4 linked regions of the Anolis sagrei genome follow. The protein of the gene in region 1 purifies or fractionates together with the protein of each later gene. This does not show direct contact. Links are inferred from orthologs where the notes say so. Each region holds a gene or a part of one and is shown on either strand. Other genes may lie near its edges.

What was found.
Region 2: the proteins of COPS6 (region 1) and CUL4B purify together in Homo sapiens (affinity purification with mass spectrometry; 8 studies listed by BioGRID and IntAct, counting the BioPlex papers as one, with this or other methods). This does not show direct contact. The link is inferred for Anolis sagrei from reciprocal best matches to the Homo sapiens genes COPS6 and CUL4B.
Region 3: the proteins of COPS6 (region 1) and TOR1AIP2 purify together in Homo sapiens (affinity purification with mass spectrometry, with the first as the bait; 3 studies listed by BioGRID). This does not show direct contact. The link is inferred for Anolis sagrei from reciprocal best matches to the Homo sapiens genes COPS6 and TOR1AIP2.
Region 4: the proteins of COPS6 (region 1) and BTBD2 purify together in Homo sapiens (affinity purification with mass spectrometry; 4 studies listed by BioGRID and IntAct, counting the BioPlex papers as one, with this or other methods). This does not show direct contact. The link is inferred for Anolis sagrei from reciprocal best matches to the Homo sapiens genes COPS6 and BTBD2.

Annotation. Positions count from the first base shown.
Region 1 is NC_090024.1:246,918,000-246,925,732, reverse strand, and holds the start of COPS6 (COP9 signalosome complex subunit 6), read right to left. Parts: upstream 3,349-7,733; 5' UTR 3,329-3,348; coding exon 3,169-3,328; intron 3,067-3,168; coding exon 2,941-3,066; intron 694-2,940; coding exon 562-693; intron 1-561. UniProt on the Homo sapiens protein: Component of the COP9 signalosome complex (CSN), a complex involved in various cellular and developmental processes.
Region 2 is NC_090030.1:3,459,774-3,467,397, forward strand, and holds the start of CUL4B (cullin-4B), read right to left. Parts: upstream 3,326-7,624; 5' UTR 3,101-3,325; coding exon 2,536-3,100; intron 1,010-2,535; exon of another isoform or gene 910-1,009; intron 1-909.
Region 3 is NC_090024.1:125,731,123-125,739,095, reverse strand, and holds the start of TOR1AIP2 (torsin-1A-interacting protein 2), read right to left. Parts: upstream 3,317-7,973; 5' UTR 3,152-3,316; intron 1-3,151. UniProt on the Homo sapiens protein: Required for endoplasmic reticulum integrity. Regulates the distribution of TOR1A between the endoplasmic reticulum and the nuclear envelope as well as induces TOR1A, TOR1B and TOR3A ATPase activity.
Region 4 is NC_090034.1:52,727,919-52,735,691, reverse strand, and holds the start of BTBD2 (BTB/POZ domain-containing protein 2), read right to left. Parts: upstream 3,282-7,773; 5' UTR 3,267-3,281; coding exon 2,758-3,266; intron 1-2,757.

The sequences.
Region 1 (7,733 bases):
AATAATAAGGCAGCAACAAAAATAATGCTATTGTTGAGGGTCACCACAATATAAGGAACTTTATTAAGGGGTCGTGACATTGGGTAGGTTGAGAACCACCTGCCTAGAGAGATGAAAAAGCTCTGAAAGAGCTGGAGATGGTTAGCCATAGAAGAGAAGGCTGAGAGGAGACCTGAGAACAAGGATGTCCTAAGGGAGAGGGAGCAGGCTGCCTTTCTGCTGCCCTGGAGACTGGGACTCAATGGAGCCATGGGTGCAAATGGCAATTGAACATTAAGAAGACCTTCCTAACCATAAGAGCTGTTCAACAGTGGAACTCTCTGCCACAGAGTCTGGTGGAAGCGCCTTCCTTGGAGGCTTTAGAAACTGGGGCTGGATGGCCATGTGTCAGGAGGGGCCTTTTGGGTGTGTGTGTGTGGGGGGGGGGGTGTCTTTGATAGTGCTTTTCCTGCCTAGCAGAATAGGGTCAGACTGGATTGCCTTCGGAGACCCTTCTCCTGTGCCTCTCCCTCTCTCCTTAGCCCCATATGTCCCCTCCCTCCCTCCTTTGCTGGGGCTCACACTGTTCCTCCTTGGTGTAGTAGTACTCCTTGTCGATGACGGCGTTCTCCTCGACCGAGTGTGAGAGCAGCTCAAAGGAGTTCATCACCTCGATGTTGCGCCCCTCCTGGCGCCCAATCAGCGCCCCGATCACTGTGGAGAGAGAACAAGGGAGAAGGCCGGAGGGAGATGGAGAGAGAGACCTTTATTGACCCCCCCTCCCCTTTGGCCCCTCCCTCCAACCTTGGCTCCTCCCCCTCTCTTGTAGCTCCCCCCAGACAGTCATAGCCCCCCCATTGTCTCTCCCCCCCCTTGTATCCCCCTCTCCTTGGCCCCTCCTGTCGCACCTCAGAATAGATTCCCCTTGCTGAAATCACCAGAAGTGCACACAGACTGAAGTCTTTGTAGTTTATTAAAAAGTAAAAGATGAAAAGTTTAAAAAGCAAGTAGCGTCCCACAGATCAATAATACAACTTTCTTTGCGGCTACTATTGCGTCTGCAAGAAACCGTCCGGCGGAGTTGTTCCGGATTGTCAGAGGTCTTTTAACTCCCGCCACCTCAGGCGGGAGCCCTGACAATTCGGCCACGCGCTGTGAAGCATTTGCTCGGTTCTTTGCAGACAAAGTCGCCTTGATCCGTTCCGGTCTGGACACCATATTAAATGCAGTCTCCGAGGATGTGACCCGAGCACCTGCTTGTCCTATTTTGATGGATTCATTTCAATTGGTGAAGCCCGAGGATGTGGACAAGATACTTGGAGGAATGAGGCCCACCACGTCCATCCTAGACCCCTGCCCATCCTGGCTTCTGAAGGAGGCCAGAGGGGGATTGGCTGAGTGGGTAACAGTGGTGGTTAACGCCTCCCTTCGGGAAGGCAAGATTCCAGCGAGCTTAAAACAAGCTATCATAAAACCGCTGTTGAAAAAACCATCACTGAATCCCACTAGATTTGACAACTTTCGGCCAGTTTCCAATCTCCCCTTTTTGGGCAAAGTCATGGAAAGCGTAGTGGCCTCACAACTCTACCAAGGTATTCTTGGTAGACACGGATTATCTGGATTCGGCACAGTCTGGTTTCAGACCGGGACATGGAACTGAGACGGTCTTGGTCGCCTTAGTGGATTATCTGCGCCGGGAGCTAGACAGGGGGAGTGTGTCCCTGTTGGTGCTCCTGGACCTCTCAGCGGCCTTCGATACCGTCGACCACGGTATCCTTCTGGGGCGCCTTGCGGAAATGGGCCTTGGGGGGAGGAGCCTCCATCACACTCTGGGGCAGAGAGTTCCACTGCTGAACAGCTCTCGCTTGAGGAGCTCCCCCCCCCCACTTCCTTCCTTCTTTCCTTCCTTATAGAACTCAAGAGTGGGAAGAGACCCCCCCTCCCGACAGATAGCCATCCAGCCTCTGTTTCAGCAGAGAGTTCCACTGCTGAACAGCTCCCGCTTGAGGAGCTTCCCCACTTCCTTCCTTCCTTCCTTATAGAACTCAAGAGTGGGAAGAGACCTCCCCCTCCCGACAGATAGCCATCCAGCCTCTGTTTCAGCAGAGAGTTCCACTGCTGAACAGCTCTCGCTTGAGGAGCTCCCCCCTTCCTTCATTCCTTCTCTCGTTCCTTATAGAACTCAAGAGTGGGAAGAGACCTCCCCCTCCCGACAGATAGCCATACAGCCTGTTTCAGCAGAGAGTTCCACTGCTGAACGGCTCCTGCTTGAGGAACTTCCCCACTTCCTTCCTTCCTTCTTTCCTTCCTTATAGAACTCAAGAGTGGGAAGAGACCTCCCCCTCCCGACAGATAGCCATCCAGCCTCTGTTTCAGCAGAGAGTTCCACTGCTGAACAGCTCTCGCTTGAGGAGCTCCCCCCCTTCCTTCCTTCCTTCCTTCTCTCCTTCCTTATAGAACTCAAGAGTGGGAAGAGACCTCCCCCTCCTGACAGATAGCCATCCAGCCTCTGTTTCAGCAGAGAGTTCCACTGCTGAACAGCTCCTGCTTGAGGAGCTCCCCCCCCTCCTTCCTTCCTTCCTTCCTTCTCTCCTTCCTTATAGAACTCAAGAGTGGGAAGAGACCTCCCCCTCCCGACAGATAGCCATCCAGCCTCTGTTTCAGCAGAGAGTTCCCCTGCTGAACAGCTCCCGCTTGAGGAGCTTCCCCTCTTCCTTCCTTCCTTCTTTCCTTCCTTATAGAACTCAAGAGTGGGAAGAGACCTCCCCATCTCGACAGATAGCCATACAGCCTCTGTTTCAGCAGAGAGTTCCACTGCTGAACAGCTCTTGTTGTGTTTCAAATAGTAATAATAATAATAATAGAGTGAGGAGGAGACAGGCCTTCTCCTTAACTCTTCTTCTCTCGTGGCCCCCTCCCCAGACCCCTCCCCCGGCTGTTTTCTCCTTGTGGGCCTCTCACCTTGTGCGGGGCGTCCCTCCTGGGAGCGCATCCGGATCCAGTGGTCGCTGATGTTGAGGATGACGAGCGGGTGCAGCGCCACCGACACGCTCCCCGTCACGCCCGAGGCCATCACCGCCGGGCCCGCTGCCAAGGAGGAGGACGAGGAGGAAGAGAAGCCCCGTCAGGCCCCAGCCAGGCCTACCCTTCCCATTCTCCCCTCTCCCCCTCGCTCCCTTCCCTGCTCACCGGCCGCGTCCACCTCCATGCCGCCCGCGCCGCCCCCTCCGTTGCTGCTCCCGGGCCCCGGCGGGCAGGAGCCGCCGCTGGAGCCCGACGCCGCCATCTTGGCTGTGGGGGATGTCCCGACGCGGCACCCGTAGCCCAGCAGCGCCGAGGGACTGCGCATGCGCCCCTGGCCCCCCTAGAGCTACGAAGAGGATAGTTTAATAGAGAGACAGCGCCCTCTAGTGGCAGGAGGAGGAGTGGCGGAGGCAGAGCCGGCGCATGCGCCCCTGACGGCCCTACATCTACGGCTGGGATAGTTTAGATGGAGAGATACAGCACCCTCTAGCGGCAGGAGGAGGAGCCGCGGAGGCAGAGAAAGCTGTGGCCCCGCCCACTGGGAGGGAAGCCCCGCCCACTAGTCCTTGTGTTATTGTTTATATGTGAGTTATATTAATTGTACTGTTTTATTTTCTTGCTGCCTTGTTGTTTACTGATGTGTTGTTGGGCTTGGCCTCATGTAAGCCGCCCTGAGTCTCCTTGGGGAGATGGTGGCAGGGAATAAATAAAGTATTATTATTATTATTATTATTATTATTATAGGAGGGCCGTTCAGCAGTGGAACTCTCTGCCCCGGAGTGTGGTGGAGACATCAGGCAGGCCCCAACCCTGGCAGTCTCCAGGAGGAACTTGAAGACGTGGTTGTTCCAGTGTGCCTGCCTGGAATAATGATCCCATATCACTTTGTCCCTCTAAAGCACTTCACATTTTTAGGTCTGCTCGTATGTCTTTCCACAAACACCACTATCACTTTTTCGTCCACGTTTCAGCACTATTTCCAATTTTAATTTTACATTTGGCCCTCCCACAGTTTTAATTGTATGTTGTCTTATTGACAATGTTATATGTTTATTGTTTATGTTTCATAGAATCCTAGAATCCAAGAGTTGGAAGAGACCTCCTGGGCCATCATCCAGTCCAACCCCCTTCTGCCAAGAAGCAGGAATATTGCATTCAAAGCACCCCTGACAGATGGCCATCCAGCCTCTGTTTCAAAGCTTCCAAAGAAGGAGCCTCCACCACACTCCGGGGCAGAGAGTTCCACTGCTGAACGGCTCGCACAGTCATAGAGTCAGAATCCTAGAATCCAAGAGTTGGAAGAGACCTCCTGGGCCATCATCCAGTCCAACCCCATTCTGCCAAGAAGCAGGAAGATTGCATTCAAAGCACCCCTGACAGATGGCCATTCCAGCCTCTGTTTCAAAGCTTCCAAAGAAGGAGCCTCCACCACACTCTGGGGCAGAGAGTTCCACTGCTGAATGGCTCTCACAGTCATAGAGTCAGAATCCTAGAATCCAAGAGTTGGAAGAGACCTCCTGGGCCATCATCCAGTCCAACCCCATTCTGCCAAGAAGCAGGAAGATTGCATTCAAAGCACCCCTGACAGATGGCCATTCCAGCCTCTGTTTCAAAGCTTCCAAAGAAGGAGCCTCCACCACACTCCGGGGCAAAGAGTTCCACTGCTGAATGGCTCTCACAGTCATAGAGTCAGAATCCTAGAATCCAAGAGTTGGAAGAGACCTCCTGGGCCATCATCCAGTCCAACCCCATTCTGCCAAGAAGCAGGAATATTGCATTCAAACCACCCCTGACAGATGGCCATCCAGCCTCTGTTTCAAAGCTTCCAAAGAAGGAGCCTCCACCACACTCCGGGGCAGAGAGTTCCACTGCTGAACGGCTCTCACAGTCAGGAAGTTCTTCCTCATGTTCAGGTGGAATCTCCTCTCTTGTAGTTTGAAGCCATTGCTCCATTGCGTCCTAGTCTCCAGGGAAGCAGAAAGGAAGCTTGCTCCCTCCTCCTCCCTGTGGCTTCCTCTCACGTATTTATACATGGCCCTCATCATATCTCCTCTCAGCCTTCTCTTCTTCAGGCTAAACATGCCCAGCTCCTTAAGCCGCTCCTCATAGGGCTTGTTCTCCAGACCCTTGATCTGCTTCCTCCTCCCTGTGGCTTCCTCTCACGTATTTATACATGGCCCTCATCATATCTCCTCTCAGCCTTCTCTTCTTCAGGCTAAACATGCCCAGCTCCTTAAGCCGCTCCTCATAGGGCTTGTTCTCCAGACCCTTGATCTGCTTCCTCCTCCCTGTGGCTTCCTCTCACGTATTTATACATGGCCCTCATCATATCTCCTCTCAGCCTTCTCTTCTTCAGGCTAAACATGCCCAGCTCCTTAAGCCGCTCCTCATAGGGCTTGTTCTCCAGACCCTTGATCTGCTTCCTCCTCCCTGTGGCTTCCTCTCACGTATTTATACATGGCCCTCATCATACCTCCTCTCAGCCTTCTCTTCTTCAGGCTAAACATGCCCAGCTCCTTAAGCCACTCCTCATAGGGCTTGTTCTCCAGACCCTTGATCTGCTTCCTCCTCCCTGTGGCTTCCTCTCACGTATTTATACATGGCCCTCATCATATCTCCTCTCAGCCTTCTCTTCTTCAGGCTAAACATGCCCAGCTCCTTAAGCCGCTCCTCATAGGGCTTGTTCTCCAGACCTTTTATCATTTTAGTCGCCCTCCTCTGGACACATTCCAGGTTGTCAATATCTCTCTTGAATTGTGGTATTGACAAGCTGGAATGTGTCCAGAGGCGAGCGAGTCCTTTGGAGATGGTAGCGGGGTACAAATAAAGTGTTGTTGTTGTTGTTATTATTATTACAGTCCACGTTTCGTAGGTGCATATCAGGGTTGGGAGGACAGTGGCTTTATAAACAGGGTAGCTGTTTAGGTCTGGAGAACAAGCCCTATGAGGAGCGGCTTAAGGAGCTGGGCATGTTTCTCCCTACGGATGTCCCGGTCCTCAAACACTCTCTGCTTCATTTGGGAAAATGCTGCACTCGCAGAGCTCAGGCGGTGTTGTACTTCAGTGTCAATGTTGACTTTTGTGCAGCCAGGTTGTTTAGAGACTGATTAGCAAGATTTAGGACTAAAAGGCTGTGATCTCTATAAGGTTTGGAAGGAGGAGGAGGAGGAAAAAAAGATTGCAAGCTTTTCCTGTTTGCTCAGCAACCAACTATTTGTAGATCATTGTGGCAACTTTGTGGTCAAGCCTTATTGGTCAAGATTCAGGAACTACGTGTCTGTTGGGTCACATTATAATTTTGCATTGAAAGTAAACGATGGGGAAGTGACATCCTTTAGATTTAGAATATACTTACGGGAAAAGGAAAGAATCTCATTTCCTTACCGATAAACTCAAACAGCAAAACATCTCATTCAGATGAGACAAACTGGAAGGTTTCTGTTAAAGCAACACCAAGTACATTACCAAAAGTTTGTTTATTATTTACTAGCTGTACCCGTCACGCGTTGCTGTGGCCAAACTTCCCTCTTTCTCTCCTTCTTTCCCTCCTTCCTTCACTCCCTCTTTCCTTCCTTCCTTCCTTCCCGTCTTTCCTTCTCTATCTCTTTTCTTCTTTTCCCCTTTTTCTTTCTCTTCTTGTCTCTCTTTTCTTCCTTCTCTCTTTCCTTCTTTCCTTCCTTTCCTCTTTATCTACATCTTCCCTCCTTCCTTCGCTCCCTCTTTCCTTCCTTCTTTCCCTTTTTTATTTCCTTCTCTCCTTCCTTCTTTCTCTAACTTTCCTTCCTTCCCCCTCTTTCTTTCCCTCCCTCTTTCTCTCCTTTCTTCCTTCTCTACCTCCTTCCTTCCTTCCTTCTCTCTTTGCTTCAATGCTTCCTTCTCCCTTTCCCTCCCTCCGTCCCTCTTTCTTTCTTTCTTTCTTTCTTTCTTTCCTTCCTTCCTTCCTTTCCTTTCCTTTCCTTTCCTTTCCTTTCCTTTCCTTTCTTTCCTTTCTTTCTTTCTTTTCTCCCTCCCTCCCTCCCTCCTTCCTTTCCTTTGCTTTCCTTTCCTTTCTTTTCTTTTCTTTTCTTTTCTTTCTTTCTTTCTTTCTTTCTTTCTTTTCTCCCTCCCTCCCTCCCTCCTTCCTTCCTTTCCTTTCCTTTCCTTTCTTTTCTTTCTTTCTTTCTTTTCTCCCTCCCTCTTTCCTTCCTTCCTTTCCTTTCCTTTCTTTTCTTTCTTTCTTTCTTTTCTCCCTCCCTCCCTCCCTCCTTCCTTTCCTTTCCTTTCCTTTCCTTTCCTTTCCTTTCCTTTCTTTTCTTTTCTTTTCTTTCTTTCTTTCTTTCTTTTCTCCCTCCCTCCCTCCCTCCTTCCTTTCCTTTCCTTTCCTTTCTTTCCTTTCTTCCTTCCTTTCTTCCTTTCTTTCTTTTCTCCCTCCCTCCCTCCTTCCTTCCTTCCTTCCTTCCTTTCCTTTCCTTTCCTTTCTTTTTTCTTTCTTTCTTTTCTCCCTCCCTCCCTCCCTCCCTCCTTCCTTCCTTTCCTTTCCTTTCCTTTCCTTTCTTTTCTTTCTTTCTTTCTTTTCTCCCTCCCTCTTTCCTTCCTTTCCTTTCCTTTCCTTTCTTTTCTTTCTTTCTTTCTTTTCTCCCTCCCTCCCTCCCTCCTTCCTTTCCTTTCCTTTCCTTTCCTTTCCTTTCCTTTCTTTTCTTTTCTTTCTTTCTTTCCTTCTTTCTTTCTTTTCTCCCTCCCTCCCTCCCTCC
Region 2 (7,624 bases), on another chromosome or scaffold:
AAGGGCTTTATAGGCCAGCGCCAGCACTTTGAATTGTGCTCGGAAGCTAATAAGCAGGCAGTGGAGCTGGCGTAGCAAGGGCGTTGTGTGCTCTCGATATCCTCCTCCTGTGAGCAATCTGGCTCCCGGGCCTTAGTTTGAGGACCCCTGTTCTAGAGCAGTGGTTCTCAACCTATGGGTCCCCAGGTGTTTTGGCCTACAACTCCCAGAAATCCCTGCTAGATTACCAGCTGTTAGGATTTCTGGGAGTTGAAGGCCAAAACCTCTGAGGGTTGAGAAACACTTCTCTAAAGCGTGTTTGGCTCGTCTCTGAAAGGTGATGCTTTTCTCAAAAGTTACGACCTCCAAAAGGTGTTATTTTTTCCTGAATGCCTTTTCCCAGAAGTGTTATGTTTTCTGCTGGGCCCCCCCCGCTTTTGGAATTCGTTGCCTAAAGAGATCAGGCAAGCCCCCACCCTAGCTGGTTTTAAGAAAGACCTAAAAGCCTGGCTCTTCCATTGTGCTTTTGGAGAATGACCATTCAACCCATCTGGTTGTCTTAGTCTACAGATACCCTCAGAACCAAGCATCCCCCCCGCCCCACCAAATGTCTAAATCCCATGGTTCCTCCCTGTTGGGCTCCTTTCCTACAAATGCACTTTCATCCCTATCTCACCCAGGGTTTTAACTTTTTAAACATTTTACCTCACATATTTGGCCCGCCCTCTGTGTCTAGTTTTAATATGCTGTTCTATATTGTTGATTTTGTTATTTTATATATTGTCATGATGTATTTTGTTACTGTGTGTTTATTATGTTGCATTCTTTTGGGCTTGGCCTCATGTTAGCCGCACCGAGTCCCCTTTGGGGAGATGGTAGGGGGTTATAAATAAAGTGTATTATTATTATTATTATTATTATTATTATTACCTTTAAAATTCTTGATGACTAACTTCTTGGCCGAGCCCGGTTTACTATTGGCAAAGCTGGAGACGCTGGACGAGGCGGCTTTGGTCAGGCCGTTCGCGTGGTGCCCAGTCTCCGGGCCTTAGTTTGAGGACCCCTGTTCTAGAGCAGTGGTTCTCAACCTATGGCTCCCCAGGTGTTTTGTCCTACAACTCCCAGAATTCCCAGTGAGTTTACTAACTGTTAGGATTTCTGGGAGTTGAAGGCCAAAACATCTGGGGACCCACAGGTTGAGAACCACTGATCTAGAAGGTAACAGTATAAAAATCTCAATAATGTTTTTGTTTTTTTTTGTATTATAGCTATGTTGATCACTATTCTTTTTCAATCTCTATATGCTGTATCCTGGAAAATAATGACTTTCTGTACGGTCATAATTTTTCAAAAAAATTAGATTTTCATTGTATTACATACACCAGTGTTTCTCAACCTGTGTGGCAAATTAGGTTCAAATCAATTGCCGGTGGAGTTCAGAATGCTCTTTGATTATAGGTGAACTATAAATCCCAGCAACTACAACTCCCAAATTACAAAATCAATCCCCCCCCCAACCCCATTAGCATTCACATTTGGGCATATTGGGTATTTGTGCCCAATTTAGTCCAGTGAAAATATATCCTGCATATCGGATATTTACATTACGATTTATAACAGTACTAAAATGACAGGTATCAAGTAGCAACGAAAACAATATGGTTGGGGGTCACCACACCACCAACCCCAGAGATCCCTCCGTTCTGAGGACCAAGATCTATTGGAAGTCCCCAGTGTCAAGACCTTGCATCTAACGGCAACCAGACGCAGAGCCTTCACAGCAGTGGCACCATCAGTCTGGAATGCTCTGCCACCTGAAGTTCATGCCCTGCAGGACTTACCAGCTTTCCGCAGGGCGTGTAAGACATACCTGTTTCGACAGGCTTTTAATGTTTGATACTGTTGTTTTTAAATTGTTTTAAATAGCTTTTAAACTTTGTTAGATTTAGCCGCTCCGAGCCCCAGAAGAGTGGCGGCATATAAGTTTAAATAATAAATAAATAAATAAAACATAGGGAACGGCATTAAGGGGTCACGGCATTAGCAAGGTTGAGAACCACTGGCTTAGAAACAAATATTTGAGAAACACTTCTCTAAAGCGTGTTTGGCTCTTCTCTGAAAGGTGACACTTTCCTCAAAAGTTACGATTTCCAAAATGTGTTTTTCTTTTCCTTTCTGAATGCCGTTTTCCAGAAGCGTTACCTTTAAAATTCTTGATGACTAACTTCTTGGCCGAGACTGGTTTACTATTGGCAAAGCTGGAGACGCTGGACGAGGCGGCTTTGGTCAGGCCGTTCGCGTGGTGCCCAGTCCCCGGGCCTTCGTTTGAGGACCCCTGTTCTAGAGCAGTGGTTCTCAGCCTGTGGGTTCCCAGGTGTTTTGGTCTACAACTCCCAGAATTCCCAGCCAGTTTACTAGCTGCTAGGATTTCTGGTAGTTGAAGGCCAAGACATCTGAGGGTTGAGAAGAGTGTGTTTGGCTCTTCTCTGAAAGGTGAAAGTTACGATTTCCAAAAGGTGTTTTTCCCCCCTGAATGTCGTTTTCCAGAAGCGTTACCTTTAAAATTCTTGATGACTAACTTCTTGGCCGAGCCCGGTTTACTATTGGCAAAGCTGGAGACGCTGGACGAGGCGGCTTTGGTCAGGCCGTTCGCGTGGTGTCCCGCGGCCACGGAAGAAAGGAGGAGGCTTTTGCTTTTGAGCTGTTGTTGTTGCTGCTGCTGCTGTTGGGAAGCAGACGAGGAAGACGAAGCCGGCGACGAAGTGGAGGAAGACTCCTCGGCCATCTTGACATCGAGTCCAATAAAATCCAAGGAGTCCTCAAAGCGGAGCTTCTTCTGCAAGTGGTGGTTGGAGGAAGACGAGGAGGAGGAGGAAGAGCAGGAGGTGGTAGCAATGGCTGAGGAAGAAGAGGAGGAGGAATGGTTCCTGGGGAGGAGAGAAGAGCAGGAGGAAGAAGAGGAGGAAGAGAGGGGCTCCGTCTCGTCCTTCTCGCTGTTGTTTAGCTTTCTCTTCTTGGAGGAAGAGGAGGAGGAAGACGACGAGGAAGAGGAGCTACTGCTGCTGCTACCATCAGTGGCAGGCCTGACCTCCTGAGCGGAAGAGAAACCTGTGGGAAACATGAACACCCCCGAGATGAGCCGCAGGCGGGCCAGAAGGACGGTCGGGCACCCGCTCTTCCTTCCTCCCTTCCTGCCTTCCTTCTCCCCGTGTCTCCGTCTCCCCTGCGAGGCCTGTCCGCCTCCCCAAGCAGGAGGCCAGCCCAGAGCCTTGTTATGGTCAGCACCACAGCCCGCTCAGGCAGGGCAGCCCCAAAAATGGCGGCGCTTCCGCCCGCGCGGCACGCCGGGAAGCCGACCCCGCCGGAAGTTGAGGAGGCGAGCAAGGAGGCGGAAGTGGCTCTCCTGCGCCCAGGCGGGGTCACGTGACGGCGCCTCCAGGCCTCCTCCACGGGGATGGCTCTGGCTCCCTTCCTTCCTTCCTCCCTTCCTTTTTGCAAGGCCAACACAGGGATGCTTCTACTCTTTCCATTCGTCCTTCTTTCTTTTTCCCTAGTTTCCTTCCCTTCTTTCCCTCTTTCCTTCTTCCCTTCTTCCTTCCTTTCTTCCTCCCTTCTTTCCTTCCCTTCTTTCCCTCTTTCCTTCTTCCCTTCTTCCTTCCTTCCTTCCTCCCTTCTTTCCTTCCTTCCCTCCCCCCTCCCTCCCTCCTTCCCTCCCTCCCTCCCTCCTTTCCTTCCTCCTTCCTTCCTTCCTTCCTTCCTTCCTTCCTTCCTTTCACAGGGATGCCTTGACTCTTTCCTTTCGTCCTTCTTTCTTCCTCCCTTCTTTCCTTCTTCCCTTCTTCCTCCCTTCTTCCCTTCCTTCCCTTCTTTTCTTTCCCTTCTTTCCTTTCACAGGGATGCTTTGACTCTTTCCTTCCGTCCTTCTTTCTTCCTTTCTTCCTCCCTTCTTTCTTTCCCTCTTTCCTTTCCTTCCTTTCTTTCACAGGGATGCTTTGACTCTTTCCTTCCGTCCTTCCTTCTTCCTTTCTTCCTCCCTTCTTTCCTTCCTTCCCTTCTTTCCTTTCCTTCTTTCCTTCCTTCCTTTCACAGGGATGCTTTGACTCTTTCCTTCCATCCTTCTTTCTTCCTTTCTTCCTCCCTTCCTTTGTCCTTCCATTCACAGGGATGCTTTGACTCCTTCCTTTCTTCCTCCCTTCTTTTCCTTCTTTCCTTCTTCCTTCCTTCCTCCTTCTTTCCTTTCTTCCTTCCACCCCCCCCCTTTCTCCCTACCTCCTGCCTTTCCTTCTTTCTTTCCTTCCTTCCTCCCTCCCTGCTTCCCCCTTCCTTCCTTCCCGCCCATCCTGTTTCCTTCCTTCCTTCCTTCCCACCCTCCTTCCCGCCCTCCTCCCTTCCCTCCCACCCTGCTTACCTCCTTCCTTCTCTTCCTCCTACCCTGCTTACCTCCTTTCTTTTCCTTCCTTTCCTCCCCACCCTGCTTATCTCTTTCCTTCCTGCCCTCCTCCCTTCCCTCCCACCCTCCTTCCCTCCCTCCTTCCCTCCCTCTTTCCCTCCCTGCCTGTTTCCCTCTCCTTCCTTCTGTTCTTTCTTCCTCCCTCCTTCCCCCTTCCTTCCTTCCCGCCCACCCTGCTTCCCCCCTCCCTCCCTCCCTCCCTCCCTCCCTCCCTTCCTTCCTGCCCTCTTTCCTTCCCTCCCACTCTGCTTACCTCCTTCCTTCTCTCCCTCCTACCCTGCTTACCTCCCTCCTTTTTTCCTTCCTTCTCTCCTTTCCTCCCTCCCACCCTGCTTATCTCTCTTCTTCCTTCCTTCTCTCCTTCCTCCGCCCCAACCTGCTTCCCTCCCCCCTTCCTTTTTTCCCTTCCTTCCCTCCCACCCTGCTTACCTCCTTCCTTCCCTGCTTCCCTCCCTCTTTTTCCTTCCTTCCCTTCTTTCTTCCCTCCCACCCTGCTTGCCAACCTCCTTCCTTCCCTCCCACCCACCCTGCTTACCTCCCCCACCCTGCTTACCCCCTCCTTTCTTTTCTCCCTTCTTTCCTTTCTTCCTTCCTTCCCTCCCTCACTCCTTCCCTGCCTGTTTCCCTTTCTCCTTCCTTCCTTCCTTCCTTCCTTCCTTCCTTCATTCATTCATTCTTTCCTTCCTTCTGAACCCCAAAACTCCAGATGATGTATCCCAGTGGCTTCATGTAGATCGGTTGTTCCCAACCTTTTGGACCCCTGACCAACAATAGTACCAAAAGGATTACAGATCAGTTTTTGGTCAACTTTAGATTCGGTTTGGTTATTTGGGGTGCTTATTCAGAAAATTGGACAAACCACCTCAGCTCTAGTTTCTAATGCAGAACATATTCTACCCAGTAGTCACCATCTGCTCATCCACAGAAAACCATATTTGATAATCTAGAGATGATGTGGTAGTAGTAATCTTTCGTGGGTAGTCAGCCTCTCCCTCCCGACATACCCGTTGCCTAAGAGAGTTTCATGAGACCAGTCATGTGGTTTTGAGACAACAGTGTAGTAACAGTAAGGCCGTGGACCATATTTTCATTCTTGCAGACCACTGGTGGTCCACAGGCTACAGTTTGGGAACCACTGAGGTAGACGTTGAATAACATTGGGGATAGCAATGAGTCCTGTGGAAGACCACAACCCACCAGCCATGAGGTCGAGCAGGACTCCCCCAGGACCACCTTCTGGGAACGGCCTGAGAAGAAGGATTAGAACCACCATAGCACATTGCCTTCTAACCCCATTCCCTCAAGCCTTCCCAGAAGGATACCATGATTGATGGTATTGAAGGCCACTGAGAGGTCCAGGACGGTTAATAGGGTCAGACTCCCCTGATCAAGTTCTCCGTGTAGATCATACACCAAAGTGACCAAAGCTTTTTCTGTTCCACGTCCCAGTCTAAAGCCAGATTGATTCGGACAGTCAACCTGATCCAGAAATCCGTATGGTAGTGTACATCCAGCCTGCCATTTTTGACAAGGACTGAGCCCAACTCCTTTCATAGTATACAACTAGAGTAGAAAGTAGCATGACAACGATAGTCTACAATGCATTATTTGTATGTCGTTGAAAGTGAGTCCAATCACATCAGTCCCTCGCATGAATCTGAACTGAAGGCAGGTTTCCATTGCTGTGGGCTGGAAAGGCAGGGCATGTTTATACGAAATAAAAGCTGGGTATAATAATAATAATAATATAGACGTGGATTCAGTGGATCAAAGACGAGCTTGAAGAGAAAGAATGATAATTTGATTTAATTTTATTTCACCTCTTTTATTGTGATGCATTATTAAATACATTAATAAATGATAAGTTATTTATTTTCATTAATCTATATAAATCAAAATGTAATGTTCATTTGTGCGATTAACAGAACTCAAAAACCACTGGACGAATTGACACCAAATTTGGACACAAGACACCTAACAACTCAATGTATGTCCTTCACTCAAAAAAATGATTTTGTCATTTGGGAGTTGTAGTTGCTGGGATTTATAGTTCACCTACAATCAAAGAGCATTCTGAACCCCATCAACGATGGAATGGAACCAAACTTGGCACACAGTTCTCCCATGACCAACAGAAAATACTGGAAAGGTTTGGTGGGCAGTGTCCTTTAGTTTTGGAGTTGTAGTTTGCCTACATCCAGAGAGCACTGTGGACTCAAAAAAGGATGGATTTGGACCAAACTTGGCACAAGCACTCAATACGCCCAAATATGAACACAGATGGAGTTTGGAGGAAATAGACCTTGACATTTGGGAGTTGTAGTCACTGGGATTCACAGTTCACCTACAATCAAAGAGTGTTCTGAACCCCACGAACGACAGAATCGGGGCAAACGTCTCACACAGAACCCCCATGACCAACACCAATACTTAAGGCCATCCAGTCCAACTCCCTTCCCCAGGGCATGAAAACGCAATTAAAGCCCTCCTGATAAAAAGCCATCCAGCCATAGATAAAGATATATATGATTCACACACACAGAGAGATAATATCATAGATTTGAAAGGGACCCCTAAAGAAGGACAATGATATGTTGAATGTTCCAGAGTTGGCAAACCAGACACTCTCCACATCAACGCAAAGAAACAGAAAAAGAAAAACAGTTTACCCACAAGCATCAAGATATTTCATATTTTAGAAACCAACACTTTCTCATTACTTTATTTTCCAGATCAACAGACTGGGCCACAGCAACGCCTGGCAGGGGACAGCTAGTAAATAATAAGTTATTTGCAGATTATTCAAAAATAATAGTAATAAATAAATTAATAAAATATTTAAAATTGAACACATAAAATTTAAGTCAACATTGGCATGTTTTCAAGCTGCTAGGATGGCAGGAGCTGGGCCTAACAACGGGAGCTCAACCTGTTCCCGGATTCGAAGTGCCGACTTTCCGGTCAGCAAGTTCAGCAGCTTAGACATTTAACCTGCTGCACCATTATTATTTATTAATTATTAAATACATTTTAATTGTTATCTCATTTAATGGTTAATTGTGTGTTAAATTTTAAACGATTTATTAATAAATAATTTAATATTACTATTTTTACAACTAAACAATTATTTATGAAAATGATGTATTTATTTATAAATAATAATATATTAGTAATGTGTGAAAAGAAATAAACATA
Region 3 (7,973 bases), about 120 Mb from region 1:
TATTTGTTCTTTTAAGAAGCCTCCCTATCTATCTATCTATCTATCTATCTATCTAAATCTATATAAATAAAAATGTAATGTTCGTTTGTGGGATTAACAGAACTCAAAAACCATTGGATGAATTGACACCAACTTTGGACACAAGATACCTAACAACCCAATGTACGTCCTTCACTCAAAAAAAATTGATTTTGTTATTTGGGAGTTGTAGTTGCTGGGATTTATAGTTCTCCTACAATCAAAGAGCATTCTGAACCCCACCAACGATGGAATTGAAGCAAACTTGGCACACAGTTCTCCCATGACCAACAGAAAATACTGGAAGGGTTTGGTGGGCAGTTTTGGTTTTGGAGTTGTAGTTCACCTACATTCACAGATCACTGTGCACTCAAACAATGATGGATCTGGACCGAACTCTCCACGAATACTCCATATGCCCAGATGTGAACACTGGTGGAGTTTGGGGAAAACAGAATCTTGACATTTGGGAGTTGTAGTTGCTGGGATTTATAGTTCACCTACAATCACAGAGCATTCTGAACCCCACCAACGATAGGATTGGGCCAAACCTCCCACTCAGGAACCCCATGTGGGCCACAGCAACGCATGGCAGGGGACGGCTAGTAAAGTATAAAACATCAAAGCATATAAACAATATACACAAAACAGAGAAACCAAACATAATGACAGAGAGCGGGCCGCATGTACATAAAATGATTACTTGTCATAAGGAAGAAGGAACAGGCTTGCTTCCTGCTGCCCTGGAGACCAGGATGCAATGGGCCCAAACTAGAGGAAAGGGTTTTCCACCTGAACATGAGGAAGAACTTCTTAACGGTGAGAGCTGTTCAGCAGTGGAACTCTCTGCCTCGGAATGTGTGTGGAGTCTCCTTCTTTGGAAGCTTTTAAACCAGTGGTTCTCAACCTTCCTAATGCCGTGACACCTTAGTACAGTTCCTCATGTTGTGGTGACTCCCAACCATAACATTATTTTCATTGCTACTTCATAACTGTAATTTTGCTACTGTTATGAATCGTAATGTAAATATCTGATATGCAGGATGTATTTTCAAATCCCAAATACCCGATATGCCCAAATTTGAATATGGGTGGGGTTGGGGTGGGGTTGATTTTGTCATTTGGGAGTTGTAGTTGCTGGGATTTATAGTTCATCTACAATCAAAGAGCATTCCGAACTCCACCAATGATGGAATTGAACCAAACTTGGCACACAGAACTCCCATGACCAAGAGAAAATACTGGGAGGGTCTGGTGGACACTGACCTTGAGTTTTTGGAGTTGTAGTTCACCTCCATCCAGAGAGCACTGTGGACTCAAACAATGATGGATCTAGACCAAACTTGGCATGAATACTCAGTATGCCCAAATGTGAACACTGGAGAACTTTGCGGAAAATAGACCTTGACATTTGGGAGTTGTAATTGCTGAGATTTATAGTTTGCCCACAATGAAATAACATTCTGAAGCCCACCAACGATAGAATTGGACCAAACTTCCCACACAGAACCCCCATGACCAACAGAAAATACTGTATTTTCTGACGGTCTTTGCCGACCCCTCTGACACCCCCTCGCAACCCCCACAGGGGTCTCGACCCCCAGGTTAAGAAAGACTGTTTTAAACAGAGGCTGGATGGCCATCTGTGGGAGGTGCTCTGAATGCAATATTCCTGCATTGAAGTCTCTTCCAACTCTATGATTCTATGTCATAAGGAAGAGGGAGCAGGCTTGTTTTCTTCTGCCCTGGAGACTACGATGCAATGGAGCAATGGGTCCAAACTAGAGGAAAGGAGATTCCACCCGAACATGAGGAAGAACTTCCTAACTGTGAGAGCTGTTCAGCAGTGGAATTCTCTGCCACGGAGTGTGGTGGAGGCTCCTTCTTTGGAAGCTTTTAAACAGAGGCTGGATGGCCATCTGTCAGGGGTGCTTTGAATGCAATACTCCTGCTTCTTGGCAGGGGGTTGGACTGGATGGCCCATGAGGTCTCTTCCAACTCTAGGATTCTATAATAATAATAATAAACTTTATTTATACCCCGCCACCATCTCCCTCAACAGGGACTCGGAGCGGTTTACATGGGGCCAAGCCCGAACAACAAATTACAATACAAAATTACAAATTGCAATAAAATAAACAACATAACAATAAAGTATAAAACATCAAAGCATAAACAATATACACAAAACAGAGAAACCAAACGTAATGACAGAGAGCGGGCCACATGTACATTAAATGATTCTTTTTTAAATGTCATAAGGAAGAAGGAACAGGCTTACTTCCCGCTGCCCTGGAGACTAGGATGCAATGGGTCCAAACTAGAGGAAAGGAATTTCCACCTGAACATGTATTGTAATGTAATATAGCTGAGTCATGCACTGCTAATGGGCTCCTATTAGAAATGCTGTGTCATGCATTAACTGTATTTAGAACTTCATTTGGGGAATGTGTTCTGGCCTAGTCCAGGTGATTGTGAATGATGTAATCCTGGGTCTGAGTTAAGTTAATGAGTTGGGAACCAATCAGAGATTGCTATGTGTAATTGTATAGAATTGTATATAAGGAAGTCATGTACAGTGTATATTTCTCCTTGTGCTGTGATGTTGTTTGTCGAAGGCTATATGTAATTAAAAGAACTTGTCTGCTAAGACAAGATATAACTATATGCTGTGGTAAGTTTGTAATGTCATCTAGACTGGGGGAAAGACAATGGTAAAACTGACAATGGCCGGGCATGTGCTCAAGTGTTTGTAAAAGGTTCCAGAGTGACTGCAGTTTGTGGGAGCAGTTGACTGAAAATACTGTGCAGGAAGATGCAAAACGCTGAAGTTGTGCAACTGATCTGCTGCTGAATTGTGAAGTTAATCTCAACAAATTTCCCAACTGGGAGAGCTGTTCAGCAGTGGAACTCTCTGCCTCGGAGTGTGTGTGGAGGCTCCTTCTTTGGAGGCTTTGAAACATCTGTCAGGACGTTTGATTGTATGGCAGGGGGTTGGACTGGGTGGTCTCTTCCAACTCTATTATTCTCTGATTATTCTCTCCCTCTTTGTTGGAGGGGAGCAGGGTGATCACAAGAGCCAGCCAGTGGGAGGGCATGGGGCCAGATCTGGGGATCCTGCTCCTCGCCTTACCTGCCTTCCTCTTCCCTTCTTCGGCCAGAAAGGAAAAGCGAAAGAGGCACTTTCTCTCCTCAGCAGGAAGTGACTTGGGGCGCCCTCCCTCCGCCAAGAGCGTCCCATCCCAACTTCCCAGGAGGAAGGAGCGCCGCCGGACAGGCAGAGCCGCCAACCCGCAGCCCGCCCGCCAGCCCCGCCCTCCCGGTGACGTCACCAGGGAACTCTGGGACCTGTAGTCCCCTCCCTCCCTCGCTCCCCGCCCTTCTCCTCCCGGGCGAAGGTTCCTCCACGAGGCGCCTTCCTGCCTGATCTCTTGAAGCCCGAGGGGAGGAGAGCAAAGGGCGAAGGCTCGCCTTCAACAAAACAACACCCGTGACGAAATCCCGTGGGAAGGGCATTTATTTCAGACTCTGGGAGGGGGAGCTTTGGCTTTTCACACTTTTAAAAAAGTATAATCGCCCTGCTGTGTAAGGGCCCCATCTACACCCCAGAACATGCAGTTTGAATCTGCATTATTATTATTGTTACTAGCCGTCCCCTGCCACGCGTTGCTGTGGCCCAGTCTGGTGATCTGGAAAATAAAGTAATGAGAAAGTGTTGGTTTCTAATATATGTAATTCCTTTCTGCTTGTGAGTAAACAGTATTTCTTATTGTTTCTTTGTCAGTGTTGATGTGGAGAGTGTCTCATTTGCCTACTCTGGAACATGCAACATATCATAGTCCTTCTTTAAGGGTCTCTTTCAAATCTATGATACTATATCTGTGTGTGTGAGAGAGAGAATCATATCTATCTATCTATATTTATTAGGGCTGGGCGGTTTCGTTCATTAATTCCGTAATTCGTTATTAATTCGTATTTAAATTAGCTTACGATCCAATATTGAGCCATGCAGGAGCAATTAAAAATCGAAACAAATTTTTCAATTTATTTCGTAATTTTTTCGAAATTGTTTCGTAATTGTTTCCGTATGTCTGGTGCAAGTTTTAGGGTTGTTGTTTGTTTTATCAGTGATAAAAAATAAATTATCACACCAACAGTCAACAACAGAGGGAGAGGGAAGCTTCAGAAGTTCCCCCTGTCCCATTTGGGGATTTTTTTAGCATATTGCGCAATCGCGTCCGCCATTAACGAATCGATTCGAAATTGTTTCGTAATTATTTCGTAATTTACGAAATTTCGTATATTTCGAACTTTTTTAAAGAAAAAAATCGGAATTCTTTTAAAAAACAAAACGCAAAAACCCCCTAAAAACTAATTGAGTTTAGAAACAAATTTTTCCGTGGTTACCCAGCCCTAATATTTATGACTGCATGGGCTCTGATTACATTTTCTTGCCCTGGTGAAGGAAGTTGGACTGGATGGCCTTAAGTATTTTCTGTTGGTCATGGGGGTTGTGTGTGGGAAGTTTGCCTCAATTCTGTCATTTGTGGGTTTCAGAATGCTCTTTAATTGTAGTGAACTATAAATCCCAGTAAATACAAATCCCAAATGTCAAGGTCTGTTTCCTCCAAACTCCATCTGTGTTCATATTTAGGCATATGGAATTTTTGTGTCAAGTTTGGTCCAGATCCATCATTGTTTGAGTCCACAGTGATCTCTGGATGTAGGTGAACTACAACTCCAAAACCAAAGGACACTGTCCACCAAACCCTTCCAGTATTTTCTGTTGGTCATGGGAGAACTGCGTACCAAGTTTGCTTCAATTCCATCGTTGGTGGGGTTCAGAATGCTCTTTGATTGCAGGTGAACTATAAATCCCAGCAACTACCACTCCCAAATGTCAAGATTCTATTTCCCCCAAACTCCACCAGTGTTCCCATTTGGGCATATTGAGTATTCATGCCAAGTTTTGTCCAGATCCATCATTGTTTGAGTCCACAGTGCTCTCTGGATGTAGGTTAACTACAACTCCCAAACTCAAGGTCAATGCCCACCAAACCCTTCCAGTGTGTTCCGTTTATTTATTTATTTATTATTTGCTTTATTTCTATACCGTGTTTCTCAACCTAATTAGGCGACTCAATGCGGTTTTCCGCATTTCCGTTGGTCATGGGAGAACTGTGTGCCAAGTTTGGTTCAATTCCATCATTAGTGGGGTTCAGAATGCTCTTTGATTGTAGGTGAACTATAAATCCCAGCAATGACAACTCCCAAATGACAAAATCAATGTTTTTGAGTGAAGGACGTACATTGGGTTGTTAGGTGTCCTGTGTCCAAATTTGGTGTCAATTTGTCCAGTGGTTTTTGAGTTCTGTTAATCCCACAAATGAACATTACATTTTTATTTATATAGACTAGCCGTCCCCTGCCACGCGTTGCTGTGGCCCACTCTGATGGTCATGGGGGTTCTGTGTGGGAGGTTTGGCCCAATTCTGTTGTTGGTGGGATTCAGAATGCTCTGTGATTGTAGGTGAACTACAAATCCCAGCAACTACAACTCCCAAATGACAAAATCAATTTTTTGAGTGAAGGACATACATTGGGTTGTTAGGTGTCTTGTATCCAAATTTGGTGTCAATTCGTCCAGTGGTTTTTGAGTTCTGTTAATTCCACAAATGAACATTACATTTTTATTTATATAGATTATTGTTGTTGTTGTATTGTCAAAAGCTTCAGTGGGTTGCTGTAAGTTTTCCGGGCTGTCTGGCCATGTTCCAGAAGCATTCTCTCCTGAAGGGTAGTCCTCAGAGATCAGGATGCTTGTCTGTTCTTAAGATGAAAAGCACATGTCTGTGTTTTAGATGGGTTAGGGATCAGCTGGTTTTCCCTGTAATAGGCAGTAAGAGCACCTAGAGCAGTGGTTCTCAACCTGGGGTCCCTAGATGTTTTTAGCCTTCAACTCCCAGAAATCCTAACAGCTGGTAAACTGGCTGGGATTTCTGGGAGTTGTAGGCCAAAAACATCTGGGGACCCCAGGTTGAGAACCACTGACTTAGAGCTTCGGATAGCTTCTGTTCAACCATCTCAAAGCTCCCTGCTTGAGCGGTAATGGCACGATCATCAGCATAGATGAAACTTTCTGTCCCTTCTGGTAGTGGCTGGTCATTTGTGTAGATATTGAACATGGATGGAGCAAGCACGCTCCCCTGAGGCAGGCCGTCCTTCTGTTTCCGCCATCTGCTTCTCTAGCCCTGGAATTCAACAAAAAAGCTCCTGTTTTGTAGCAGATTTCCTATGAGGTGGGTGAAGTGGTAATCCTTTGTGATATTATACATTTTTGTCAGGAGGAGGCGGTGGTTTACAGTATCATAAGACGCTGACAGGTCTATGAAGACAGCTCTTGTGATCTGCTGTCTTTCAAAGCCATCATGGTCTACTGCATGAAAAACATGCTGAAGGCTACTCAGTTAAGCTATGACTAATTGTAGTAATGTCCCAAAGTACATTTACAGTACTCATCCTAGCTGCTGAACCATGCTATTTTAAATTTAAAACCACTTAAATTAGAGCATAAGCTCATAATTATTTTTAAATGCAGGCCTCTTGACATCTGTTTACAGAACTGTTTGGATATCATGGAATGTGCATGACCACTCTCAGAGCTAAAGAGAAAGTGCTGCCCATTCATGTGATGATGACAAATAGTGTTGCTGTCATGAATAAAATATAGTGCCACAATGGTAACACAAGGGGAATCTTGATGAATCAGAACAATCTAGGTCAATATCAAGTTTTCCACAGGAGGTTACTGGATACTCCAGGGAAGCTCACAACACAAAACAATGGCCTCCATTAGTTGTCATTCCTCCACTAACTAGCATTAAGAAGCACGCTACCTCTGACTCTAGAGGCAATGTTTTACCATCATAACTAACAGCTATCGATAGCCTGAGTACTCTTTTGCAAAAATGTCTAATCTATTACATTCTCGATGGATTTGTCTAATTGACAAGTTTCATGGTTGCAGCTCGCAGAACCATACACAAGACAAAGAGTAGGCTAACCAGTTTTCTCACTGACCAAATGTAAGAGAGCCACATATCTCTTTAATTAGAGTTGTGTGCGGAACCGTTTTCCTTTGTTTCATCCATTCTTTTGTTACTTCGTTACCTTCGGGAGCATGTAATGGGAAGCCCACTCCTGGCAGGAAAATCAGCTCGGCACAAAAGCAAGCAGGAGCCAATCCCGGCTCCTTGCCTGCTTTTCGTGAGTATGTGGCGCTCCATGCCTTCTTGCCTTGGAAAGAGAGTGCATGTGTGTGTGGCATGCAGGCCAGCTTGCAGCCAAGCACCTCCTCTAGAGTAAGAATGAGAAGTTACCTGTTGTCTCCTTGCTTTGGAAACAGGGTGCATGTATGTGTGGCATGCACACCCAGAAAGTCCACACCCCTGCCTGCACCCAAGTGCCTCCTCTAGAGTAAGAATGAGAACTTGCCTAGGAAAGAGTGTGTGCGTGTGTATGGTTGCCGAAATCACCTGTGCCTGCTTGCAGCCAAGCACCTCCTCTCGAATAGATAATAAGCCTCCTTAAAGCGTGCGCAGAACACACCTGTCTGCAGCTGAGTGCATCTCCTCTAGAGTAAAAGAACTTAAATGTCTAAAATGACGGGAATGGGAGCCTGGGAAGCACTCCCCCTCCCCCCAAAATGGGCCGATAGAAAATTGATCTTTTGGCAGCCAACATGAAAACAAATGTCTACCATCCCGATTTTGGTTGAAAGCAGATAATGTGGGTTATCTGCATGGATAATCCGGATTATAAGGCAGCGTAGAGGGGTCCACAGTTCTCTGGAAACGGGTCTAGGGCCCCATCTACACTGCTATATAAAATCCATATTATCTGTTTTGAATGGATTTATATTAGTCTACATTGCCATATAATCCAATTTAAAGCAG
Region 4 (7,773 bases), on another chromosome or scaffold:
AGCATCATATGCAAAAGCCAGATATTATACATATATACATATACATATGAGAGATAGAATGATGCATTAAATGGATGGCCAACAGGCTAAAACACACATGTCCAAAAGAGACCAGATATGGCCCCGCAAAAACACTAGACAAGTCCTACATTGCCTGGAATTGCACACCTTTCTGCATAGACACACACACAATGATATAACATGTGCGTGAGTATATGTAAACACATACACAGTACAGATAATATACATAAACACATAACACACCCACAAATAAATAACACACACAAAGTACAGGTCCATGTGGCACATGCAAACACATATACATGCATAGACACGCACACACACAAGTATGTAATGTGTGTGTGTGTGTGTGATTATATATACAGGCAGTCTCTGAGTTACAGGCACCTGACTTACATCCGATTCCAAGTTACAAAGGCAGAGACTGAGACAACAGGAGAAATCTGCCCCTCGATAGGAAGAGAAAGTCCTGAAAGTGTTATTATCATGGGGAAAAGAGGCCTCCACTGAAGCTTTATCATCAATCCTTGTTTCCACAACAAGCTGCCTTTGTCAAAATCCCATTACCACAGGGGCATAAAGTGCGACGAAATATTCTGAACACAGACAGCAAAGGAAACCTCTTAGGGGTTTATGCTATCCAAAGCTAACAAAATGTTTGTTTTAGCTAAAGTTACACATAAAAAGTCCCTGTTCTGACTTACACACAAATTCAACTTAAGAACAAACCTGCAGAACTGATCTTCTTTGTAACTTGGGAACTGCATGTATATATATGTGTGTGTGCGTCTGTATTTATGTATGTACGATATGTGTATTTATACATATTTATATATGTGCTTTTTATGTATGTGTATCTGCATATGTGTAATATATGTGTGTATAAATACACATATATAAGTGTGCATTTATGTATGTATATGTATTTTCAAAGGCTTTCATGGCTAGAATCACTGGGTTGCTGTAGGTTTTTCCGGGCTATATGGCTATGTTCTAGAGGCATTCTCTCCTGATGTTTCGCCTGCATCTATGGCAAGCATCCTCAGAGGTAGTGAGGTCTGTTGGAACTAGGAAAATTGGGTTTATATATCTGTGGAATGATCAGGGTGGGACAAAGAACTCTTGTCTGCTAGAGCTAGGTGTGAATGTTTCAACTGACCACCTTGATTAGCATTTGATGGCCTGGCGGTAGTCTGCAGTGCCTTTCATGTTCCTTGATTTGTGCTTGGGCGATGCTGCGTTTGGTGGTCCCTATGTAGACTTGTCCACAGCTGCATGGTATACAGTAGACTCCTGCAGAAGGGAGAGGATCCCTCTTGTCCTTTGCTGAACGTAGCATTTGTTGGATTTTCTTGGTGGGTCTGTAGATAGTTTGTATATTGTGTTTCCTCATCACTTTCCCTATGCGGTCAGTGGTTCCCTGTGGACAAGTCTACATAGGGACTACCAAACGCAGCATTGCCCAAACACGAATCAAGGAACATGAAAGACACTGCAGACTACTTCAACCAGAGAAGTTAGCCATAGCAGAGCACCTGATGAACCAACCTGGACACAGCATATTATTTGAGAACACAGAAATGCTGGACCACTCTAACAACCGCCATGTCAGACTACACAGAGAAGCCATTGAAATCCACAAGCATGTGGAAAATTCCAACAGAAAGGAGGAAGCCATGAAAATGGAACAAAATCTGGCTACCAGTATTAAAAAACTCTAAAATCACAACAGCAAAACATCAGAGAGGAAACAATCTGGGACATCTAATCACCTCTCAACAAAAGATTGCCCCAGGCACTGCCAAGCCATCAAATGTTAATCAAGGTGGTCAGTTGAAACATTCACACCTGGCTCCAGCAGACAAGAGTCCTTTGTCCCACCCTGGTCATTCCACAGATATATAAAACCTTTTTCCTAGATCCAACAGACCTCACTACCTCTGAGGATGCTTGCCATAGATGCAGGCGAAACATCAGGAGAGAATGCCTTTAGAACATGGCCATATAGCCCGAAAAAACCTAAAACGGCCCAATAAGGAACAGCTAATCACCTCTCAACCAAAGATTCCCCCAGGCACTAACAAACCACACCAAAAAAAACTGCCAGGCCATCAAATGCTGATCAAGGTGGTCAGTTGAAACATTCACACCTGGCTCCAGCAAACAAGAGTCCTTTGTCCCGCCCTGGTCATTCCACAGAAATATAAACCCAATTTTTCTAGTTCCAACAGACCTCACAACCTCTGAGGATGCCTGCCATAGATGCAGGCGAAACATCAGGAGAGAATGCCTCTAGAACATGATCATATAGCCTGAAAAAACCTACAATAACCTATGCATGTATATGTGTGTGTGCATAAGTGTATGTATCTGTGTGTGTTTATATATGTATACAGTATATGTGAGTGTGTACCTCTGTGTAATATGTGTGTACTTGTGTATATATCTATAGATAGATATGTGTGTGTATGTCTATATGTATAAAAACACACAAATTCATTCAGAGCACACATGCAGACATGACAACATAAACAAATACATGTATATATGTCTATATTTCCTTCCCTCCCTGCCCCTTCCTTCCTTCCTTCCTTCCTTCCTTCCTTCATCCTTTCCTTCTTCTTCCTCCCTTCCTTTTTTCCACACATCTTCCTTCCTTCTTTCTTCTTTCCTTCCCTCTTCCTTCTTCCTTCTTTCCCCCTTCCTATCTTCCTCCCTCCCTTCTTCTTTCCTTGCCTGTGTGCAGGGAGGCGTTGGGCGCCCCTCCGTCCTTTCCCGACTACGAAGTGGACGTCGCTGAGCACCTCGTTGTTGAAGAGGAAGGCCATGCGCTCCAGGACCGTGGGCTTGGTGGCCTGCCAGTTGTAGGCCGAGGGCGGAGGCGAGGAAGGCGGCGGGGAAGGTGGCGACGAGGAAGACGACGGCGCCGAGGCCGCGGGAGGAGGAGGCGAGGAGGAGGAGGCGACCCCCTGGATGCGCGGGTTGCCTCCGCCCCGGTTCTGCGCAGCACCAGGCCCCGGAGCCTCGGGCCTCGCGTGAGGGGGCGCTCCGCCCAGGTTGGAGCAGGGCGGGAGAGGCGGAGGAGGCGGCGCCGAGGAGGAGAAAGGCAGGCCCCCTTCGCCGCCGACTCCTTCCTCCAGGGGCCCGGCTCCGGCCGCCATTTTTCGGCGCCGAGGAGGAGGAGGAGCCCAAGGGACCGAGAAGGGGAGGAGGAGGAAACAGCACGGGCTTCCGCTGCGGCCCATGGAAGAAGGAAGGGAGGGAGGAAAATGGAGGGAGAGAGGAGGGAAGGCGCCGCCTGAGGGAAAGGAGGCGCAATGGCCGCCTGCCGAATGAGGCCTATGCGAGGAAGGCTTCCATACCTAGCTGAAGGGAAGGTTCTCGATGGAGGCCTACTTGAGGAAGGCTTCAAGGCCTGGCTGAGGGGAAGGTTTAGAATGGAGGCCTACCTGAGGAGACTTTGAATTGTGACCTACCTGAGGAGGCTTCCAAGGCCTGTCTGAGGGGAAGGTTTACATTGGAGGCCTACCTTAGGAAGGCTTCGAGGCCTACCTGATAGGAAGGTTTTAAATAGAGACCTACCCAAGGAGGGCATCAAGGCCTATCTGAGGGGAAAGTTGTCCTCCTGGATTCATCACTTACGTTTGAAAGCTCAGGTGTCGGCAGTGGCCGGGAGGGCTTTCGCACAATTAAGACTTGTGCGCCAACTGCGACCGTACTTCGCGAAGGCTGATCTGGCCGGGGTGGTCCATGCCTTGGTCACCTCTAGATTGGGGAAAGTGGAAGGCAAAAGGAAGAGGGGCCGACCAAGGGCAAGATGGATGGATGCCATCCTTGAAGTGACTGGACTGACCTTGATGGAGCTGGGAGTGGTGACGGCCGACAGGGAGCTCTGACGTGGGCTGGTCCATGAGGTCACGAAGAGTCGGAGACGACTGAATGAATGAACAACAATGCGCTCTAAGTGGGGCTGCCCTTGAAAACGGCCCGGAAATTTCAACTGGTCCAACGGGCAGCGGCCAGGATGTTAACTGGTACCCCTTATAAAGAGAGGTCAACCCTCCTGTTCAAGGACCTCCACTGGCTGCCGTTTATTTTCCGAGCCCAATTAAATGTGCATGTGCTTATCTACAAAGCCCTGAACGGTTTGGGACCATCCTACCTGCGTGACTGCATCTCCGTTTACAAACCCACACGTTCACTACATTCATCTGGAGAGGCCCTGCTCGTGATCCCGCCTGAGTCGCAAGCACGTTTGGTGGGGGTCACGAGACAGGGCCTTTTCTGTGGTGGCCCCCCGACTCTGGAACACCCTCCCCAAAGATCTTAGACAGGCTCCTACATTGGCAATCTTTAGAAAGAACTTGAAGACCTGGCTGTTCCGATGTGCCTTCCCAGAATAGGAAATTTCCAATACCAAGTCCCAGAAGCACTTTATTAGAACTAAGATTGCCACACACTGCACACTGCACTTTCCCTATAAGCCTTATATAAAAAAAAATCATCCAGGCGTCCCCTGGGCAACGTCCTTGCAGACAGCCAATTCTCTCACAACAGGAGCGGTTGCTCCTGACACACAAAAAAAATAATCCTTATATACCACCTGTCACATCAGCACTTTTAATTCTGTACCCATTACTCTGGCCCGGCCCAGTTTTATTGTGTTTTGGTGTATTGTTTATTGCTTGTTGTTTTGTTGTTTAATATTGTTTTAATTGTTTTTAATTTGCTTTAGGTTTTGTATTGTTATGCTGTGTATTGAGGCCTTGGCCTTCATAAGCTGCATCGAGTCCTTCGGGAGATGCTAGCAGGGTACAAATAAAGTTAATAATAAGTTTTAGAATAGAGGCCTACACGAGGAGACTTTAAATTGTGGCCTACCTGAGGAGGCTTCCAAGGCCTGTCTTAGGGGAAGGTTTACAATGGAGGCCTACCTTAGGAAGGCTTCAAGGCCTAGCTGATAGGAAGGTTTTAAATAGAGACCTACCCAAGGAGGGCATCAAAGCCTTTTGTTGTTGTTCATTCGTTCAGTCGTCTCTGACTCTTCGTCACCTCATGGACCAGCCCACGCCAGAGCTCCCTGTCGGCCATCACCACCCCCAGCTACTTCAAGGTCAGCCCAGTCACTTCAAGGATGCCATCCATCCATCTTGCCCTTGGTCGGCCCCTCTTCCTTTTGCCTTCCACTTTCCCCAGCATAATTGTCTTCTCTAGGCTTTGCTGTCTCCTCATGATGTGGCCAAAGGACTTCAACTTTGTCTCTAGTATCCTTCCCTCCAATGAGCAGCCGGGCTTTATTTCCTGGAGGATGGACTGGTTGGATCTTCTCACAGTCCAAGGCACTCTCAGCACTTTCCTCCAGCACCACAGCTCAAAAGCATCTATTTTCCGACTAAGGAGGAGAAAATCCTTTCCTTTTAAATCCCTTTACTGTCCCCACTCTTTCCAGGAACCTACATAGATTCTCTTTTTGTAATTAGCTGTGGCTCTTCTGTGACTCTTTAAGAAAACTTGTGCAGTGCTTTGCATTACAGGTTTCAGACAAACTTCACAGTAACATTGTTTATTTATAGCTTCTTGTACAAATGCTTATTGGTTACATTTATATCACTGTTTCTTAGTTGCACATAACTTGGTTTCATTACAGTTTTCTTTTCATAACAGTCTACTTCAAAGGTACTCAAACATCAACATTTTGCTAGCTTCCTACTCTGGCTTCTGCACTCAAACTGACTCAAGCCTCAACTGCCATTTGCCAACTTATTTTTATTTATTTATGTATTTTTCGTGTCAGAGCAACCAGTGCATTATATTACATTTCTAACAGAACAAAGCAAACAAACAGACAAATAGAAAACTTGTGAGTTTGGTAGTTGGTTAAATGTCCTTTGACCAGTATCTGGCCACTTGGAGTGCTCCGGTGTTGCTGCAAGAAGGTCCTCCGTTGTGCATGTGGCAGGGCTCAGGTTGCATTGCAGCAGGTGGTCAGTGGTTTGCTCTTCTCCACACTCGCATGTCGAGGATTCCACTTTGTAGCCCCATTTCTGAAGGTTGGCTCTGCATCTCGTGGTGCCAGAGTGCAGTCTGTTCAGTGCCTTCCAAGTTGCCCAGTCTTCTGTGTGCCCAGGAGGGAGTCTTATTTGGTATCAGCCATTGGTTGAGGTGCTGAGTTTGAGCCTGCCACTTTTGGACTCTCGCTTGCTGAGGTGTTCCAGCGAGTCTCTCTGTAGATCTTAGAAGACTATGTCTAGATTTAAGTCGTTGACGTGCTGGCCGATACCCAAACGGGATGAGCTGGAGATGTCTCAGCCTTGGTCCTTTCACTATTGGCTGCTACTTCCCGGCGGATGTCAGGTGGTGCAATATTGGCTAAGCAGTGTAATTTCTCCAGTGGTGTAGGGCGCAGACACCCCGTGATAATGCAGCATGTCTCATTCAGAGCCACATCCACTGTTTTAGTGTGGTGAGATGTGTTCCACACTGGGCATGCATACTCAGCAGCAGAGTAGCATAGCGCAAGGGCAGATGTCTTCACTGTATCTGGTTGTGATCCCCAGGTTGTGCCAGTCAGCTTTCGTATGATATTGTTTCTGGCACCCACTTTTTGCTTGATATTTAAAAAGTGCTTCTTGTAGGTCAGAGCACGATCCAGAGTGACTCCCAGGTATTTGGGTGCGCTGCAATGCTCCAGTGGGATTCCTTCCCAGGTGATCTTCAGAGCTCGGGATGCTTGTCTGTTCTTGAGATGAAAGGCACATGTCTGTGTTTTAGATGGGTTGGGGATCAGCTGGTTTTCCCTGTAATAGGCAGTAAGAGCACCTAGAGCTTCGGAGAGCTTCTGTTCTACTGTCTCAAAGTTCCCTGCTTGAGCAGTAATTTCCCAACTGTCAACTTTTAAATTCCTGTTCCAGCTTCTGCACCTACTCGTTTGCATAGGACCAATCGGAACCCTTTATGCAAATTAACTCTTCTCCTTCTGTTACTGCCCTCTAAGAATAACATAATGGCTGTTCTTGCATCAACTCTTCAATGTAGGCCCTATTACAACACTGACATATATATTAAAACTTTAACCTATAACAAACATTTCGCTACACCTCCCCTCAAAGAAGGCCTCCATATTGAATCTCATTTTTTTTTAAAAAAAAACAACTCTTCAGCTAAACTACCATTTTAAAGATCCCCCCTTTCAAAACCATAAAAGCCTCAATTTTTGAACCCACTTTCAATGTATAAAAGCCATCCAAACCTCCATTTAAAGGCCCACCTTTTTTCAACCCGCAAAACAGCCCCATTTTAAAGCCCAATGTAAAAGTGCCCCTGTTTAGAACCCACTTTTAAATATTTAAAAGCCTTCATCAGCCTCCATTTGAAAGCCTGACTTTTTAACCCATAAGACCCCCCCCCCTTTTTTTTAAACACCCCACAGGTAGATTATATTTTAAAGCCCACTTTTTTCTACCCATAAAAGACCCCCGTGTTCATACCTAGAGACCAGTAGCTAATCCTTTATATCTCTATTCTGTTCTCTTGTGGCTGTGTCTGAGCACTGCATCCATATATAGCTATAGATTAATAGCTAATCCTTTCTATCTTTATTCTGCCTTCTTGTGGTTGCACTTGAGCACTACATCCATACATATCTATAGACCAGTAGCGAATCCTTTCTATTTGTATAATGCCCTCTTGTGGCAGCATCTGAGCACTGCATTCATACAGCTATAGACCAGTAGCGAATCCTTTCTATCTTTA